2 linked regions of the Drosophila melanogaster genome follow. Each later gene encodes a partner of the first gene's protein in a complex. Each region holds a gene or a part of one and is shown on either strand. Other genes may lie near its edges.

Region 1 (3,755 bases):
TATGTTTGCTGATACTACAAATCATGTAACGCCATCGAGGCGAAGGCAGCGCAACTGCATCGTCTGCCTGACGTCTGCTATTGCCGTCTCATTCAGTGGCACTGTGACGCTGTCGCGCCGTCTCTGTCTGCCCCCAACAGCCCCATTCATCATTTCGCTGCACACTGAGAGAAATAGTCACAATGCAACAACAAAATTGGCTATTATTCGACCAGTAGAGTTGGAATAAAGTCCCAGTGCTTTTAATCTTTAATATTATTTTTATATTATTTCTTGAGAGATATTTTTTTCGCACACAACCTTTTCGCTCAGTGTGCGGCACTGTGGCCCCCAATGTGTGATGGACGGATGTGTGACGACTTTCGGTCTTGTTGTCGCTGATGCGTTTAAAAATATAAGTACCGTGCGGCCAAATGGCGCCAAATGCATTTCGAATCGCTTTGAGTCTTGTCAAATGTGCAGTAGCGCAAGTAAATTAAAATGAATGTGATAGGAACTAAGAAAGTAGGGGATTCATGTATGTTCCGCGTTCACTGTTCACGCCTCGCACGTGTCATCGCGAAGTGAGCCATTGCAGCTGATCCCCAGCTCCTCGCCGCCCTTGGGTCAGCAGGAAGTGGGTCCCCTGCCCGATGGCCCAGTAAGTGCTTATCAAAGTGAGTGGCATAGTCAGAGGTTTGTCATTTCCACCTCCCCACGAGAAAGAACGACGGCGAGCTGAGTCAGCTGGGAAATTAATTAAGCGGGCGAGGCCAGGTGCAGATTGTTCAGTCCTGCAGCTGCAAAGATTACCCAGAACACGCGGGGCAAACGGTATGCCACTCCTGCTGCAACCCTCGACGCCCATACAACTCCATATCCTTTGCGCATGCGCGCGCATTCAGTGTGAGCAAGAAGAACAGAATGAACAGAGAAACGGGTCCAATAACTGGGAGAAACCACGAAACCATCCAGCCGAATGCATCTTTATCGACTTGGCCACAACAATTCTGTTTGCAGCTGCCGTCTTGGCATTTTAAGTGTCGCTTTGTTAGTGCACAGAACGAAATTGTATGTTATTAAGGGATCAGTCGAGCAGCACAAGGTGGTCTTCCTCTTTTTGGCCCAAAAGATGTATCTTAGCCGTTATGTAGCTTATTTCCCTTGGCAAATGCCGAACCAGTCGAACCTCAAGATATCTTGAAATATGTATCTACGTGAACTTTCAATTTGTTACTACCGCTCGGCTTCATTTTAGCTTAATTATGAAAACACCAGCTTGGAGGTCAATTAGCCAGAGTCACATCAAAACTGACAGACAACTTTTGTCGGTTTTTGGGCTGCAAGACAGCTACATACCAACTATAAAAGCCAAGAGTCAACTTAAACCTTCGGAATGCTTTTGAGTGTTAATGATGGCCATAAAAAAAAAAAATGAAAACAGCATATGTAAACCGACTTACCTTGATCGAAAAAAATGTTAATCCAACAATAGTTTGTGTTGCGAATCGTCGTCGTCGAGGTTGAGTTGTTGGAAAATTTGTTTTTTTGGGTGTATTCGAATTTTTCAGCCTTTATTATTTGTTTGGTTTCGGTTGGGTTATAAATATGTTTAAATGGTATCTGCTTCTGGAAACTGCACTTTGCTTGGCTCTCGCTCTCCCAATGGGATTGTATCTCTCGGATACGTTTCGTTTCACAACTTTTGCAGCATATAACGTATTTTTCACGCTCTGAACTACTTTTCCTATTTCGCTATGGCTCGGGTTTTGAAAGTTTTTCGTTGCTACTGCAATTGGCTTCGTTTTTCACTTAACACGATTTGTAGTTGTGGCTATTGTTTTGGTTTTCTATTTTTTGTTATTTCTTTTATTTTATTTTTTTTTTTTGGGGTGGTAAATCCAGTTTGCCAGTTGCAATCGTCAGGCGTACTGCGAAACGTATCTTTGTATCTGGCGGATGAGTGAGTAATGCGCACTGCAAATCTATATGAAGCTCAGAAATGTATCTGTGTCTGCGTTCTGCTCGCGCGCGCTCCACGTTCTCAACTGATTGCGATCGTGCTCGTGCAGCGGTTTTTGTTGACTGCGCTCTCTTCGAATTCGAGTTCGAATTTCGGCCCGGCTTCTCAGCTCTGCAGTTTCTCTCGACAACAGCTGTGGACATATTTGTAGATCGCGTACAGAAAGAAATTAGTATTAAAAGGACAATTAAAAGTTGGAAAAATTAAAAAAAAAAAATATTTTTACTTATTGCGTTAACTTTAATTTTTGTTCTTATTAACAAATGTTTAAGAATTTAGTTTTTGATATATGTCTATATATAAATATTTACCTAATTTATATAAATAAATCATATCAAAGTATAGAATTATATAGTTTATTACTGACTTAATATCGGTGAATATATTGAAAATTTTTAGTTTTTTGTTTCAGTGTATATGCAGACCCGCATTTCGAACAATCTTTCCTGCTTATTGAGCCAACAGCTAAGGTCAATGAAAAGAGGTTCTTTGGCTTCCAGAATGAAGGAAATACGAATAGTTCCTTGGCCTATAGAAATGTGGGTTAACTTTAGCTGTATGAACTTTTTTGTTCAAGGATTAAGGGATTTGAAAACAGACTTTATGGTATTTGTATTCTTATTTATAGGGGTATTAAGGAAACGAAAGATTCACATACAGCCAGAGAAAGGCAATCCGTCGGGTTAATCCCTGCATTCGAATGTTCTAAATATCTTTTCTGGAAGCTGTCATCGAGTGTCTTTGACACTTCTGTGCGCAGTTGAAAAAAAAGTATTTTAAGGAGTAGTTATTAAAAACATGTTTTGAAATAAAATGTTGAAATTAATATGTCATAAAAGAATATACAAATATCCATAACCTTTATATTTTGTACTTTTCCTATATTATTCCACGTTTTCTATGACTAGACCTTGACACTTAATTTATCACCATATTCATTAACAATTTTCGAAGATTTATCATGCACTTGTGCATTCATTAATTCTGTAAGTAACTAACTCATTAATTTCGTGGAACGTTCCTAATTATTCAGCCAGCATTGATCGTCGAGTAATTACAGGAAATCCTTTTCCTGCCGCGCACTAAAAAGCATTTCAATGTTTTGCGGCTGGCACGCATGCCAAGCGATATCGGGATACCTCTGGAGATCCTTTTTGGGGATTCGAATCGGAATGGTATAGCATATGGTAATACATACATATATATATTTATCTGTACTGTAGGTCAGCCATGTGTGCAGAGCTGTCAAGTGCGTGCTGGAATCCTTTTAACCATCGCGTGAGGCGGGATCATGCCGCTGATCGAGTTACGCCAGTTTTTACTTGGAAATTTTATCAGTAGTTGCAGGACCACGCCCACGGGCACGCGTACGCCCTGAAAAAGGTGCATAGGTGCAGGATCGATCAGCTGCACTCGAATTGCAGCGCAGATGCAGCAGCTACTCTTTGAAGCGGTGTCCTGTTGCGATCTCAAGTGCATCTAATGGCTTGTTTATCAGCAGTTGTCGATCGCCGGGCAAATAAATTGAGTAGGTACCATTTTCCTTAATTGATTGCGGCGTTGTTCTAATCATTTCTAATTGCGATGCGAAGGACGCGCGTAGATAAGGACACACGGAGAAAAATGTATACCCACAAAAAAATAATGTAAAATCAAGCAGAACTTGAAAAGTACTTTTGATTTTAAGAATATAATATAGACCATTTTATAATTTTAAGCTAGCAGTATCTTTAATATCAATATAAAAGTGATC
Region 2 (3,755 bases), on another chromosome or scaffold:
CATACATATGTATGTGACCATGTGTGCCGTGCTTACATATGTGCGGCCATATCTGTGTTTTGGTGTCTGATTCTAGAGCACAAGTGGATGCCACTTGGCTGCCGCTGCCTCCGCCTCTGGACATTGGCATTCTATTTTAATGAATTATCTGCACTTAGGCATCGAACTAAGAACTAACAACTAAGAACTAAGAGCTGCGACTATAGCGATCACCCGACAAGTCGGATGGATCTGAATGGAGTGGGAGGTGGCGCAGCAGAGGCGTACTGGTTGCATTGCAATGGCGAAATACAGATGTACAAACGCTGATTGGCTCAATTGGACGACTATTTGAACTCTGACCCCTGTGCGATCCTCATCGGCAGCTCTGCCCCTTCCGCCCCGTCCTCCTCCTCCGCCAGCCACCCTTTCACCCTGGAATTTCCCGATGGGCGACGCACCATGACCGAAGCTACTAATTTGGGCCAGTGATCGTCGCTGCGGCGATCACTTGGAAACGTCGTCATCGCCATCGCAGCTATCGACGGAAAAGATAGCACTTGAAAAAAATATCTCTATTATATTTCTTAATTAGAGTCACAATCTAAAAGTTCTTTAATGTTTCATATCACGAGGCTTACTCGCTAAACTATTTATAGCCATAAAAATACATGTTACTATTTATTACTTACCTAAATGCCCATTAATCTAGATTTTCTTTCAGTGCATACCCACGGAACTGAGCAGGGGCGTGCAGGGCGTGGGCGGGGTCGTCCGGCTGGTCGCCGTTTATGGGCATTTGACTTGAAATGTCAACGTAAACGTTGCTCGTTGCTCGGGGAGAAACTGGTTAGCCAACTGAGGCGACTGGAGACCCCAAAGCGGATGCAGTGCAACTGAGCGCATCTTCAGGCCCACCGACCGACCGACCAACCGACCGTCCAAGCAACCTGACGAGGAACCCCAGCCCCGCCCCCTTTCCAAAGAGATTTTCCGTCGCAGCCGAGCGGAAATGTTCCAACAATTTATAATTAAAGATTGCCAACTGGTTTCCATGAAGATCCAAGATTTATGGGATCGAAAACACCTATCAGCTAGCACCTCCAAACATTTTGTATTACAATAGAGCGCTTTTCCCAGGCGCGTGGCGCTTATTTCATTTTCGGCCAGGGGGTCGTATTCATAATTATTTCAAATGCTTGAGAGCATTATCGCACACTGATTAGAGTTCACGGAATTGTCTTATCTATGGTTTATGTGCAAAAAGCTCGCCAATAGTCACAATTGACAGCTAATGGGTATGGCATGCTCGATCATTTCAAGTTTCCAGTCACAATAGGTGTGTATGTTATCTAGTGAGAGAACGATCCCTTGGTATTTCGGCGCCCATGCTTCTGGTATCAGCATGAATCGTTTGTTTAAACTTTATCTTCTATTGATTAACAACTAAATCGAGCGCCCCACGCGAATTCGACGCCGCCCACAGACAGCGGTTGCCTATTGAGTTGTTTCGTAGTAAACTTTGGTGGGTTTTAAATTATTTAAATTATTACCTCTGCGAGCTGTTGCTTCTTTCGTTGCCAAGGAAGTGGATGGTGGATCTGTAAATGTTTACGCGCCTAATGATTTGTTTGTGGTCTTTGCACACACTCCTACTTCTCAGAGTATAATAACATAATCGAGATTATTATGGCAATTGTGGGGAATCTGGGAATTTTAAAAAATTACGAACATAAAATACGTATGTTAATTGAGATTATTGTGAAATTATTCCGGAATTGGAATTGGAATTTTGTGGCGCATGCAAGTCTCTCAAGCTCTGATATAAGATTGTTTATAAATATTGAAATATAATGAGCAGCTCAGGGGTGTCTTTCAATCGTTAAAACTTTAACTCATATAAGACTGGCGCATCAAAGCTTCACTGTACCTCAAAATATAGGTCCGATTTAAGATATAAATCTTGGACGCTAAAACGGATACGGATCAAAGCGCGACTTCCTTAAAAAATTATCTTATTTTCGTATTCTTCACCAGTTCTTTTTGAATTGTTTTTGCTGTATGTCGCTCTCTTTGCTTCTCTTTCTCTTTCGATTCTCTCTCCGCATGCGCCGACTTGTTCATGTTCGCCGCCTGTTCGAATCGAATCGGCAGTCAAAAAGAAACTGCCGTGCTGGGCGGACGTGTAGAAGAGTCGCTCCTGAAAGCAACTAGACATTCTGCTGTAAATGGCAAACTAATATGTTTTAAATTGATTAATTCACAATTAATAGAATTTAATTCGTGCGCGGCGTTGAGGAAATAAACGGTTCTTCTTAACTCGGTGTGTGTTTACATTGCCCGGTGTGTGTGTGCGCGAAACGGAAATAAAAAATAAACAAGAGCGACAGCAACAACGCCAACAACAACAGCAACATCAGCGAGAGCAAAGCAACGCAACAAGAAGTGCAAGCAAAAGTGAAAAGGAAGACGAAAGAGGAAATGCCAAAGTACAACAACAAATACACGAACAAAACGCCAGAGTGCAAGTGCATCGCGTGAGTGTCTTACAGTGTGCGTGTGCGTTTGTGTGCCCGCGTCTGCCTGTGTGTGCGTGCTGCTGAGGCGGCGGCGGAAGTAAAAACGCTTGACTTCGCCTTCTTCTTATTCATTTGCTCCGCTTTACGGCTGGCATTTGTCGCAGAACGAAGCGAAAACAAAAACAAAAACAGAGAGCCTGGATTAGCCCCAAAAGCACACAACCACCGCCCACGCGGCGCCCCTCACCAAAAGGAAACAGCAACACAAACAACAATGGCAACTTGGCGCGACGCCCTCTTCGTCATCAGCAGATAACAACAAGAACAACATCGAATTAACAGAAACAAAACCAAAAACAAAAATAAAACAAGAAAGCGAAGCAAAAGCTAAAGCATTCTGGGATCTGGACATATCCGCTTCCGCGTTGCTTCTGTCGCTAAAAAGCTCAAGAATCGAATCCGAAGCCCAACGCAAACAGACAAATTCACTCACTCACCTTACAGTACGTAACCACAGTGCACAGTGGAGCAAACAGGTGAGAATTTTGATAATTTGTATACTTTTTGTTGTGAACTGTTAAATTAACCATTGTCAAAATAGTAGCAGAAAAGAGTGTCAAAAATAAAAACATTTTTTCTCAATATGTAAGCACAATGGTTTTTATATCTGGAGTTCTTTTATATTCGTAATCGTGCAAGAATCGGTGTTTACAGACATTACCCCTGTATCACTCCATTGCCGTCGTTGCTTTTTTTTACGAATTGGTTAAAACACCATCTTTTGGTACATGTATTTCCCATAACTACGTCACAATGGTCATGGAAACAGAAAAGTGTCTTGTCTGAGCAGCTGATAAATAATTGCTCCACCTTAATCTGGCTTTGGTTATCTGCTGCATATGACTTCCCCACTTCGCTCCACCCGACGTCTTACAATGTCTGAGTTTTGGTCTCTGGTTGAGGTCAACAATTTGTCGGATCTACACGTGTAAACAGATAACTTGGGCTATATTTGGTTCGCAGTACACTCATATGAGATGGATGAAGACTCGGCAACAACGGTTTATCTAAGGTTTAGTTGATTTATTTGCCTGTTCAGAGGATCTGATTGTGGCGTTTTCATTTGGGGCTTGTTTAAATAATAAGAGTTACAATTTTATGGGGATCTTGGGAGTGGTTTTATAGTTTAATTATTGTTTTGTTATCTGATTGTTGCGCATAATTTGTTGTATGTTCTTCTTGTTTCCAAATATGATT

Evidence for each region. The genes of interacting proteins can lie anywhere in the genome.
Region 2: the proteins of edl (region 1) and aop are in contact, whole or in part, in a crystal structure (PDB 1SV0), measured with the Drosophila melanogaster proteins. Residues at the interface, in NP_523786.2 of Drosophila melanogaster: Thr108, Arg109, Lys134, Pro136, Met137, Asn138, Lys140, Ala141, Leu144, Met145, Met149, Arg153; in NP_001259908.1 of Drosophila melanogaster: Glu69, Phe70, Asp71, Leu72, Pro73, Pro100, Gly101, Ala102, Asp104, Val105, Asn108, Val109.

The regions. Positions count from the first base shown.
Region 1 is NT_033778.4:18,671,504-18,675,258, forward strand, and holds the start of edl (ETS-domain lacking), read right to left. Parts: upstream 2,034-3,755; 5' UTR 1,443-2,033; intron 1-1,442.
Region 2 is NT_033779.5:2,177,126-2,180,880, reverse strand, and holds the start of aop (anterior open), read left to right. Parts: upstream 1-2,126; 5' UTR 2,127-3,034; intron 3,035-3,755. UniProt on the Drosophila melanogaster protein: Ets-related protein that functions as a negative regulator of photoreceptor development acting antagonistically to pnt and the proneural signal mediated by RAS. It acts upstream of SINA to inhibit R7 development.